Linked DNA regions of Ovis aries. The protein of the gene in region 1 interacts with the protein of each later gene in a biochemical or structural test. Links are inferred from orthologs where the notes say so. Each region holds a gene or a part of one and is shown on either strand. Other genes may lie near its edges.

Region 1 (4,361 bases):
CAAAAGTAGAATAATGTAATTAATAGCTCCCCCCGCCACACACACACACACACACACACACACACATTAGCAAAGCAAGCAAAATGGACTAACTTATAGGCAATAATTGTGTAACACTGAAATGAGTCCTGGACTTCAAAAGACCTCCCTGAGTGCCTCTTGCAAAGCATACAACCTATGATAACTTCTCTGAGATATAATTGTGTATCTTTGAGATGCTCACTAAACATTTTTTTTGTATTTAATTTTGTATCTATATGTAAACTTATGGTGATGATAATCAGTTTATGATGTAAGCAAGTCAAGCCATTAAGCTGTACACCTTAAACTTGTACAGTGCTGTATGTCAACTATCTCTCTATAAAACTGAAAGAAAAATTAATATTAGAAGATGAAAAAAATATGACAAGGAATGATACAGTCAACTGGTAAGTCAGGTTAGGATTGGAACTCAAGCCTTCCTCTTCAAATTCTGAGCTATTCAAATTGTGCCCGAAAGTAACACGACGCGAAAGTATTTGGAGGGAAGCTGAAAACCTGCTTTGCTGAGTCACAAAAGGCCCTAGGCCGTGACGATTCCCCTTGAGTTTACCCGGAAGGAACGTCAGCCATCACGCTGCGACAGTGGTCCCCAGCATCCTGGGCGCCAGGGACCCTTCCGTGGAAGACAGTTTTTCCTCGGGGCGGGGGATGGTTCAAGCGCATTCCTTTCACGCTGCACTTTCTTTCTGTTATTCTTACATCGGCTCCACCTCCCGTCATCAGGCACTGGGTCGCAGAAGCTGGGGACGCCTGCCCTACCTACAGTGCAGGACAGGCTCAGCCCAGCAACGAGATCGGCTCCCCAGGAGTCTAGAGCCGGGCTCCGATGCCCCTCTGGACAGGCGCCTCCACCGGCCGGCGGGGGCGGGGGCGGGGGGTCCCCGACAGTCATTCATTCCGCCCAGGTCTGAGATCAGCGTAGGGCGGGGCGAAGAAGCGCCAGGCCCAGGGCTGAACAAGGCGCACCAAACCCCGCTCCCGTGAAACGGACGGTCCGGCGCGGACGGGGGTGCGGCCAGGGGCCGGGGCTTCTGCGGCGGGGGTCCTGGGGGGGCCAAGGCGGCAAGGGCTCCGAGAGGACGCGGGAGCTTCGCCAGCCACCGCCTGAGCACCCGCGGCGGTCGGCCCCGCCACCCCCTAACCTGGCCGGCCCGGCTGCGCACGGCCCGGGGCCGCGCCCGGGGGCCGGGCCTGGCCCGCGCCGCCCGCTTTGTTCCCGGAGCGGGCTCCAGAAGCGCCGCCTCCCCGCAGCGCCCCCCGGCGGGCCCGGGAGGGAGCGCGGCGCCGCGCGCGGGCGGCGCACGCCCGCCCTCGCGATTGGCCGCGCGGCGTGACGTCACGGGGCGGCGCCGGCGGCCGCCGGGAGCGGGCGCGCGCGCGTGCGCAGTCGCGGGGCGCGGGGGGGGGCGGGGGAGGTGGCCGCCGCTGCGCCCGCGGCCGCCATTTTGTTGCTGTGGCTCTCGGGAGCGGGGCAGGGCTCGGCGGCCCCGGCGGCGCGGCGCTCCCGGGCGGTGTGCGGCTCGGCGCGGCCGCGGGGCTCGGTGCGGAGCGGCGGGGACGCGGGGCCGGCCGCGCGCCGGGGCCAGGGCTGAGCGGAGGCGCCGCGAGCCGCCCTCGCCGCGCTCGGCCGGGCCCGCGCCCGGAGCCGGCTGGGCCCGCGCGGCGGCCCCGGAGCAGGCCGGCGGCCCGGAGGATGTTGCGGGCCCGCGGCCGCGAGGAAGGCGCGGGCGCGGGCCTGTAGGCGCGCGGTGAGCCCGAGGCCCGGCCGGCGCGCAGCCGCCGCGGGCGGGGCGCCCCCAGCGCCGGCGAGAGCGGCCCGCCCGGCCCCCCGCGCGCCGCCCGCCATGTCCTCCGCCAGGTTCGACTCCTCGGACCGCTCGGCCTGGTACATGGGGCCCGTGTCCCGCCAGGAGGCGCAGACGCGGCTCCAGGGCCAGCGCCACGGCGTGTTCCTCGTCCGCGACTCGTCCACCTGCCCGGGGGACTACGTGCTGTCCGTGTCCGAGAACTCGCGGGTGTCCCACTACATCATCAACTCGCTGCCCAACCGCCGCTTCAAGATCGGGGACCAGGAGTTCGAGCACCTGCCGGCGCTGCTGGAGTTCTACAAGATCCACTACCTGGACACCACCACGCTCATCGAGCCGGCGCCCAGGTGCGCGGGGCCGCGGGGCTCGGCGCGGCGGCGCCGGCCGGGGGCGCCGTGGGTGAGGGCGGTGCGTCGGGCCCGGCAGCTCGCGCTGCGGGCGCCCAGTTGGAAAAGGGGCGCTTTCTGCCCTTCGTCGCGTCCTCGGTGCAAATTACCTGCTGAAGCAGGGCGTTGCTCCCGGTCTTGCAGCCGGTTTGGGGCCACGGGTTGAGACTCTGAAGCTAGTCTTCGGCTCCCCGCCCCGCGGGCCCCTCCCTGCCCCCCGCCCTCCCGAGTTTGCACCGCTTTCAGGGTCTCTGAGCTCCGGGGTTGGACCTCCCGGACGGCAGCCTTTGGAAACTCTAGAGATGGAAATGCCTTCGCAGGTAGAAACGAAATGCCTTTACCTGTGAAATATCAGGGCCATATATTGATAGCCTGGTGCCAGGGTTGAAATAAGCCAGGCGTCTGTTTTATAACACATTAACTGAAAATACTGTAGAAGAGGTCGGCTTGAACGAGGAATTTTTTTTTTTTAATAGATTTCCCCCAAGCTGGGCCTTTAATGGACTGGAAATCCATTTGGTTAAATTCCAAGGTGGAATGAGTCTAGACTGTTACTAAGAGGAAATTTTGAATGACACTCCACTGAAGATTCTACGCTAGTTGAATTTCAGATGTCCTTTTTGTACTGAGTTGCATGACTTAGTATCTATTTTAAAATAACCCAGAGTGACACTGAGCATTGGGCATCCCTTTTCATTTGGGCTTCATTATTGGCCTTAATATTTTGCTCGAGGCTTCTTTTGTGCAGATTATGCAAAACTTGAGCTAAAGAGATGGCGTAGGGTTTTAAAAATAAAAGGTATTGATCTTTTCAAGCGTCTGCTTAGAAAGGACAGGGTGCTAATACAGGTTTTTTTCAGGGTGAGATGGTTCTGACTTGATAGATCTGCTGACAAGATAGTAGTCTCAGCTCTGAACATGAGAAGCTGTCGTATTAAAGGGGGACGCACTGGATGCTTCTGTGGACTAGAGGTAGAGAAGAATGAAGCCCTCGCGGTGTAATGACCAGGAGGTTAACTGCTGAGCTAAATGGACTTTAAAAGCTGGGAGACAGGGATTATAAATCAGATACTGCGTAACAAAGGCCTAGCCGCGGCGAGTCTGACTGGCGAGGCCTCCAGGTCCCCGAAGAGCCTGGGAGCTAGAGGCAGCGCTCAGCACAGTGTGATTCCAGCGTGAGAGGCTGGGGGCTCTCGGCTCCCGCAGTGGTGAGGCTTCAGCTGCGTTCGCGTAACTGGCTCTTCTGGCTTGTGAAGGTGACTGAGCGCTCTCTCGGGCACTGACTGGGCCTCGCCGCGCGCCTCAGTGCAGCCGTGAGGGAGGGACTCGAGCCCCTCTGGGTGGAGAGAAAGGGGCGCGGCCCTGGCTTCCCAGTGCCCGCAGCCGCCACCCCCAGCTTTCCCTTCGTGCTGCTTCCCAGATGCCCGTCCTCACCCTCTCCCGCCGCCTCCAGGGAGCCCGCGCTACACGCCCACTCGCGCCGGAGGACCTTTGCTCGGGCCCCACCCGCCCCTCACCGGGCGCGCCTCCCTGCCCTTGGGGCCTTTCCCTGGCGCTGCCCCCGCCTCCAGTTGAGCTTTGCTGTTTCTCCGCCCGCTGCCCCGGGCGTCCCGCTGCCGTCGAGTTTTCCTTCCCCTGGTGTCTCCGAGGGCTGCCGCTGCCCCAGTTGAATGAGATCCTGGCAGGATTCACTTGGTCACACTGAACCTGGATCGCCTCTCCCGGAGCCAGAAACCCGCGGATCTGTGTGATGCGCTTATTACTCAGCTAGTGTAGAAGACAAGGCCGGGCCAGCTTTGGCCAAAGGCAAAAATCAGGGCCGTGTGCTTCCACGCCCCAGGCAGGATGGATGAAGTGGTTAGGCTCTTTCAGGCCTCAGAACCGAGCTCCTGAAGCCAGAGCTTCTGCGCTTTGGCTAATAGTTATTTTTTGGGGTTCATTTTGCTCAGTAAAAAGTGACGACTTACTGGCTTCCTCAGAATTTAAGGACTGATCTCTTTTTTTTGTTGGGGGAGTAGCTTTTTTTTTTTGGCCGTGCAGCGTGTGGGAGCCAAAGTCCCTGGCCAGGGACCAAAACTGAGCCCTTGGCAGTGGCAGCTGGGGTCTCAACCTCTGCACCACAGGG
Region 2 (4,090 bases), on another chromosome or scaffold:
CCCCTGGCCACCACCCACACCAGCTGAGAGGGTACCACACAGGGAGGGGAGAACTGGGATGGGACAGGTGGGAGGAGGAGGCAGAGAGGCAGTCAGCAACAGAGAGAGGCAGTGATGCAGGGAACCAGAGAGATTCATTCAACGTGATTATTTGCTGCATGTCTACTGTGTGCCAGCCACTGTGGCAGGCAGCAGGGATACAGCTGTGGACAAAAGAGGCAGAGATCCCTGCCCCCGTGGAGAGAACGCTCTAGCACAGGAGACGGATGGCAGACAAGATAAACAGGTAAGATACATGATACACGAGATGCCAATAAATAGTGAGAAGAAAAATTAAGCAAGAAAAGATAACAGGAAATATGTGTGGGAAATATGTGTGGGAAGGAGTATGACATTTCATACAGGTTGATCAGTGAAGGCGACCCCGAGAAGGCGGCGGGGGTGGAGATGGGGAGCAGTCCCCCTCGGAAAGGGAAAGGCAAGTGCAAAGGCCCAGAAGCAGGGGAGTGTCCCTGGTGGGGCTGGAAAGCAGAGGCGTGGGTGGAGCAGGGAGAGGGCGCCAGCCTGGGATTGTCAGCGGGGGTCAGACTCAGGGGCAGTGTTGAGAAACTTGGGCTTCGCTTTGGGGGGGGGGAGGGGATGGAGGGCATGGGACAGCTCTGAGTGATGTCACTCTGTAGAACAAGGAAAGGCAGAGAGAGACGGGAAGAGATAGAGAATCAGGAACAGACCCAAGCTGAGGCAGAGAGAGACAGACATGGGCAGAGACACCCCAAACTGGGAAAAGAGACACATTGAGAAAGACACAAAGGGGTGAGAATACACCAGAGAGAGACAGCAGACTGAGGGGGTCAGAGACTTGGTCTGACGGGCTGGTGGGGTGAGTCACTTCCTCTCTGTGGGCCTCAGTTTCCCCCACCCGCCCTGAGGACTTCTTCATGAAGTCCTTCCTTTCCTGACCTTTGAGGTCTAGGGCTGGAGGGAGACTGGGAGACTGGGAGATGGTCAAAGATAGAGGTGCACATCAGAAATCTGATCAAGGCCCACCCCGCCCCCACCCTCCAGTGCTCCAAGACAGTGAAAAGCAGGCTGAGTGAATCAGAAATGCATTCACTCATTAAATGAACAGATGGGCCCTGACGATGAGCTAGAAATGCAGAAATACTCAAAGGCATGAATAGACCTTGGTGAGAAAATGCAGGCACAGGGGGAAGATGGGGCAGGGAAAGTCGGGATCGTTGCAGAAAAAATAGAGCTGGACTCTCAGGTCCTGAAGGATACAGGGTTCAGGGCCCGCTTGGGTACCACAGTCTCCCCAGCATCTTCCAGGCCAGGCCTGGTCCAGAGGAGGGGCTCTGTGTGAAATACAGACCAGAAAGACAGTCCCCGGAGACGCAAGGATAGAGGGACAGGACAGGTGGATTGGAGGGCCAAGGGCTGCCTGGATCTCCTCGCCCTGCCACTCACCTTGGTAGATGTCCTGGAGAGAACCAGCCCCACAGAATTCCATGCAGATCCAGAGTTTCTGCAGCCTACAACAGTTCAAGAGCAAGAATAATAATAGCAGTAATAAATCATTATTTATAGGACAGTTTCTGGCTCACTGTCCATCCTATCCTAGTTCAACAAGAACTTGAATGTAAGAGGTGTCATCTCTCTATTGTCTACCAGAGTGAGATCATCCCATTTTACAGATGGGGAGATTGAGGCTCAAAGAAGAAAATATATGTTTAGGGTCAACTGGACCAAACCCAGGTGCCTGGGCTCCTACCATGACGTTCTCTGTTGTCCCATGCTAACCTAGGAGACAGGGCAGAGACTTCACAGGTTGTGGAAGTTCAGAGGGGACAGAGGAGCCCAGGATGCCAGGGCCGGGGGGCAGAGATCATTCTTGGGGCATCTGGGATATTCAAGGGTCAGGGAAATTAGGGGTTCATGTTAAAGGAACAGAAAGTGAAACTGGGGGACCTGCAAGTCAGGACGATGATCAGTTTTAGAGGGACTTGGTTTCACATTTGGTTACCACAAAGGGATCAATTTAGTGAGAAATGCTAGTTATTTATTGGAGATGAGGTTTGGAGGTGCTCTGGTCAAACAAGTGGGACTTCGGGCTGGGGATTAAGTTAGGAGCCTCAGTTAAAAATGGAGGTCTGGGATTAGAGGTTAGGTTGGAGGCGGGTGCTGGTCAGGAATGGGAGTTGGGGGCTGGGCTGGGGGGCAGGGGAGGTCTCATCACCAGAGATAACTCCCATGGTAGGCCACGATGTTGGCGTGCCGACAAGTTTTCAAGATGAGGATTTCCTTCTGAAGGGTGGAAACATCATCGTCTGCGAGGAGGGGCAGAAGAGAAAAGGCTACTGCAGGGATGGAGTATGGGGGAGATCCCAGGGTCCCAGGAGGTGGGGCAGGGGAATGAGGACCTGGGTGCTCTCCTCACCAGGCTCCATCTTCACCATCTTCAGTGCCACCAGGTCCCCTGTCCCCTTCTCTCGAGCCTTGTAAAGGGGAAGTTGGCAGTCAGGCAGGCTCCATTTGCCCGAGGTCTTCCTCAGCATCCCTGAAGCCAAGCTGAGGACTGGGACCCTCTCACATCCCCATCCCTTCTTGGGGCTCACCCCCAAGGTCACAGGTTTGAGAGTGTTGGAGAAGGAGGGGGGTTCCTCACCTTGAAAACTTCCCCATAGGTGCCGCCACCCAGCCGCTGCAGCAGGTCATAGTGGTCCCGGGGGTCCCTGTTAAAGATGTCAGGGTCTACGAGGTCCATTCCTGGGGGCCGGAGCTGGGCCTGCGCCCAGGGGCCAGCAGGGCCTCAGGGCTCCGAATGCTGGCACCTCCCTCCCTCCCCACACGCCCTGCACCCGCCTTGCCTCCACCGGCTGTGGCCTCCCCCCTCCCCACTCTCGCTTCCTGCCCCGGCACAGAGCTGTGCAGCCAGCGGCTCCACCCCCTGTCCCCTGGGCCCTGACAGCCTGTGAGGGGCAGCTTGCCTTGGGACCCAGGGGACTCCCCCCTCCACCTCCGGGGCCCTGGGCTGCATGTAAACCAGATGCAAACTATCTTCATTGTGACCTGGAGGGTGCCCTCACCCTCCCCCGTTATGGGCAGTGGCTAAAAACATTTGAACCTCTGCTGAACGCTGAGTGTTGGGCCACAACCTGGAGATGGCAGGTCTACACCGGGATGACCATGTAGTGTATGTACATCATTGTTCACCCGGGACACATACAGGCACTTAGTGGTAACTCCCCGTGCGGCGCGCAGGCCAGTCGCCGTGCACACTCCTGGATACCCGTGTGCACGTATGTGGATATACCCAGAGCATATACACATATGACACATGCATGTTCAGTCATGCTTGCAGTGGGCAGTATCTGAACACACAACTAGGGATGCCACATGCGGAGCGCTCGCCTTCACCCACAGAACTGGAGCTATGGGGACTGGGCGTGATCTAGCGGGGTCCACGAGCCCCTCTCTCCGCCCCTGCCGAGCTGAGCACAACAGCTTTGCGGGCCACTACCCTCGGCGTTAGGGTGAAGTGTGGGGGACCAGGTTCACGACTTAAAACTGCGAAGCTCAGGATCCTTCCTCAGAGGCCAAGGGGACCTCAGAGGGCACCTTCTTCGGCACATGCCCATGGACCAAAAGGATTGTACTGATGGAACCCCAGCAGTTTTGAGTTCACAGCCCGTGCACGCCGTCACGGATCAGTCTACTTCCCGCTAAGTCCGCGCTCACGCGCCAGGGTCTATAACTGGATACGCGAGGCCCGGGAAAAGCTTAGTCCCGCCCCCTCGCCGCGAGAAGGCGCCTGCGCACTTGGTTAGACTAGGTCTTTTCTCGCGCCGTAGCTTCTGCTCGAGTAGAGCGTATGCGCACGCGCTAACTGCGCCGGCTGGGAAGAAGTCACGCGGCAGCCGGAAAGCGTGGCAGCCGCAGCTAGACCCAAAGCACGATTCACCGCGGGGCTGGAGAGAAAACAATTACGTAGTTTCCGTTTCCACCAACTCTTCCTCTTCCGGTCCTCGAGGACGCTTTGCCGGCAGGGTCTTCGGCCTTAGGCCTGGTGTGGGAGGCGGCAGCAGTCATG
Region 3 (3,585 bases), on another chromosome or scaffold:
GTATGTTAAGGCTGTATATTGCTACCCTGCTTATTTAACTTATATGCAGAATACATCATACAAAATGCTGGGCTGGATAAAGCAAAAGCTGCAATCAAGACTGCTGGGAGAAATATCAGTAACCTCAGATACAGCACCTTTATGGCAGAAAGCGAAGAGAAGCTAAAGAGCCTCTTGAGGAAAATGAAAGAGGAAAGTGAAAAAGCTGGCTTAAAACTCAATATTCAAAAAACGAAGATCATGGTATCGCGTCCCATAACTTCATGGCAAATAGATGGGGAAACAATGAGAGACTTCATTTTCTTAGGCTCCAAAATCACTGAAGATGGTGACTGCAGCCACGAAATTAAAAGATGCTTGCTCCTTGGAAGAAAAGCTATGACAAACCTAAACAGTGTATTAGATAGCAAAGATATCATTTTGCCAACAAAGGTCCATACAGTCAAAGCTATGGTTTTTCCAGTCATCATATATGGATGTGAGAGTTGGATCATAAAGAAGGCTGAATGTTGAAGAATTGATGCTTCTGAATTGTGGTGTTGGAGAAGACTCGTGAAGAGTCCCTTGGATAGCAAGGAGATCAAACCAGTCCATCCTAAAGGAAATCAAGCCTGAATATTCACTGGAAGGACTGATGCTGAAGCTGAAGCTCCAATACTTTGGCCACCTGATGCCAAGAACTGATTCATTAGAAAAGACTCTGATGCTGGGCAAGATTCAAGGCAGGAGGAGAAGGGGACGACAGAGGACATGGTTGGATGGCATCACTGATTCAACAGACATGAGTTTGACCAAGTTCTAGGAAATGGTGAAGTACAGGGAAGCCTGGTGTGCTGCAGTCCACAGGGCCGCAAAGAGTCGGACACGACTGAGTGACTGAACAAGAACATGATGAAAAAAATTGGAATCATGGGGTCTTGTAGATTCTGGCTTTGTCCTGTCCCTTCCCATTCACCCAGAGTATGTGGCCCATCAGAGCAATCCCCTAGAGGCAGCTAAAACCCAGACACCTGGCCCACTGCAGACATCTCCACCCAGTTGGTCTGCTCTGGAATCCATACTTCTGTATTTTCTTTTTGGTTGGGGCGACTGCAAAACCAGAGCAGCCTTGCTCAGAGCAGAGCCTGGCACACAGGAAGCACTGGGTCCATGTTTGCTCATGTTAACCCCTCCTGCAGTGCTCCCACCGCCCTCGCTAGTCAAGGGGACAGCACCAGCCTCTTCTCAGGGACAATGAGGACCCCAGCTCTGCCCCGGGGGTCTCATGGCTCCATCAGCACCAGGGAGCTTTTCGTATCAGTGCTTTCACAACGAGCTGCTCTTTGTTTGGTTCAGTGTTTATTATTGCTCTATCTGTCCACAGTGCAGAACAACCACAAACAGTGTGAATGATACATGAAAAGGTGGGCTTGTTCCTGTAGGTTTCATGAACATCTCTGCCTACTGTGGAAGCAATGGCTCCTACCTGATGGGGGCCGTGGGTGGGGTGGGTAGAGAGTGCAGAGAAAAGGAGAACTTTCCTCTCTGCAGCTGGCCCACTCATGAGGGATGTGCCTGCCTTTCAGTTTAGGGTTGACTCCCTGGGGCCCCCGAGGCAGGTGGGGGGTGGGCACATACCAGTCTCTCCTGGGCCCTTGGAGTGGGGTGTCTCGGGCATGTCGGGGGTGTCTTTGTGCTCAGCAGCTCTCCTGGAGGTTCTCGTCTTGGTGGGCAGTTCTGGGGCCTGCAGCAGGGTACCTGCAACCCCTCGCATGCCTTTCTTCCCCAACTCCTTTTCCACTTCTAAGAAACACCAAAAAAATTAAGAACAAAACCAGCAGTCATCAGCAGTGGTATCATTGTGGTATGTTGGCTTTCTCTTCTTAAGGCAACAGTAGTAAACTATATACGGTTACAGAAAAGGGACACACACTCTGAAGAAACAGTACTTGAGCAACTTTCAGAACCCTGGCTGCAAGAGACGGAAAGCCACCCTCAGCACCCCTGCTCCACTCTCTGGTCTCCGGCGAGATGCTGGCCCACACGCTCTAGCAGGAAGTGGACTGAAGGCCTGGGCTGGGCCCCACATGGCTGTCCCTCCCAGGTCGACCTCGCTCTCCACCACGGGCACCCCCAGGACGGGCACTTTACCATCTGATATGCTGGATTCCTGGAACATCGTTTCAAAGGCCTGGTGGATCTCAGCGAAGGAGGGCCGGTCGGAGGGATTCCACTGCCAACCTGCAGATGAGACCCAAGTCAGACTGCCCACGATGCCTCGCAAACATGGGGGGACGAGACATTCTCAGTGGAAAGTCTGGGAATTAACATTCCAATCCTGCTTAAGCATCTTTTGCTATGACAAGTTAAAGTGATGAATGTCACTGTGTCCTATTACAGACATTGAGAATTTGAGAAAATTTTACATACTGGCAGGAATACGGAGTCTAAAATCCCAGAGACAGGCTGACAGCAACAACTACATTTACAAATAGGATTTTACCGGCCTGCCTCCAGCAAACATAGAAAGTTACTAAAGCCAATAGCTTGCTTCCTACCTTACCCTTATTTCATGGTTATCAAAGCCCAAGTTCCTCATCAGAAAAGATGTACTAATTAAAACAAGGTTAAAATGAGGATTAAGGGATGACTAAATCCCATTAGGTGAAGACATAGAGTCCCTCTCAGAAACTTCTGTTGAGAGTATCAATTCATATAACCTTTTTGAGAAAAAGATGATAAAACCTATCAAAATTTAAAATGCACTTAGCTCCCTGAACCAACAGTTCAACTTCAAGAAGTACTAGCAAAGTGCACAGAGGTCTATGTTTGAGGGTGCTGGTTCCTGCCTTATTTATAATGACAAAAAAAAAAAAACAACGACAACAAATGTGTAAAGCAACCAAATGCTCATCAAAAGCAGACTGGATGAATGAATAAATCATGCAATAGATGCCAGACAGCTACATAAAGATATGAGACAGGGAAGTGGGGGAAAGAGGGTGCACTTGCTCTGAATCACAGACATGGAAACACAGGCCTGTTCCACTGCTAAGTACAAAAAAAAGTTGAGGTGATAAATTTTTATACATTTTATATATGCACACACACGTTACATACTTACACACACACAACCTATAACACACACATAACACACATACACGTAGCACTTACGCACACATATAACACACACACACACGTGTGTGTGTGTGTGTGTGTGTATGTATGTGTGTATGTAAATTGCTGAAATTTCAGGGCCCATAATATATATGGGCTTCCCTGGTGGCTTAGCTGTAGAGAATCCTCCTACCGATGCAGGAGATGCAAATTGGATCCCTAGGTTGGAAAGATCCTGGAGAAGGAAATGGCAACCCACTCTGGTATTCTTGCCCGGGCAATCCCACGGACAGAGGAGCCTGGCGGGCTACAGCTCACAGGGTTGTAAAACTTGGGGTTCTTATTAATAAATGCAAATTTCTTGTATAGTAGGCAAATATTCTGAGTGACTTTTATCCACCCAGGCTTGGTATCCATCGGTCTCTTTTGCATGAAAAACAAACAAAAAACCCTCATACGTAAAATACTATATATGAATAAAAGCGCATA

The links.
Region 2: the proteins of CRKL (region 1) and MAP4K1 form a complex in vitro, tested with the Homo sapiens proteins (2 studies listed by BioGRID). The link is inferred for Ovis aries from reciprocal best matches to the Homo sapiens genes CRKL and MAP4K1.
Region 3: the proteins of CRKL (region 1) and ABL1 form a complex in vitro, tested with the Homo sapiens proteins (4 studies listed by BioGRID and IntAct, with this or other methods). The link is inferred for Ovis aries from reciprocal best matches to the Homo sapiens genes CRKL and ABL1.

The regions. Positions count from the first base shown.
Region 1 is NC_056070.1:72,322,164-72,326,524, forward strand, and holds the start of CRKL (crk-like protein), read left to right. Parts: upstream 1-1,484; 5' UTR 1,485-1,886; coding exon 1,887-2,197; intron 2,198-4,361. UniProt on the Homo sapiens protein: May mediate the transduction of intracellular signals.
Region 2 is NC_056067.1:47,753,586-47,757,675, forward strand, and holds the start of MAP4K1 (mitogen-activated protein kinase kinase kinase kinase 1), read right to left. Parts: upstream 2,828-4,090; 5' UTR 2,765-2,827; coding exon 2,666-2,764; intron 2,496-2,665; coding exon 2,438-2,495; intron 2,328-2,437; coding exon 2,237-2,327; intron 1,533-2,236; coding exon 1,468-1,532; intron 1-1,467. Other genes in the region: EIF3K (eukaryotic translation initiation factor 3 subunit K), read left to right, coding at 4,088-4,090. UniProt on the Homo sapiens protein: Serine/threonine-protein kinase, which plays a role in the response to environmental stress. Appears to act upstream of the JUN N-terminal pathway.
Region 3 is NC_056056.1:5,791,586-5,795,170, forward strand, and holds part of ABL1 (tyrosine-protein kinase ABL1), read right to left. Parts: intron 2,221-3,585; coding exon 2,131-2,220; intron 1,783-2,130; coding exon 1,618-1,782; intron 1-1,617. UniProt on the Homo sapiens protein: Non-receptor tyrosine-protein kinase that plays a role in many key processes linked to cell growth and survival such as cytoskeleton remodeling in response to extracellular stimuli, cell motility and adhesion, receptor endocytosis, autophagy, DNA damage response and apoptosis.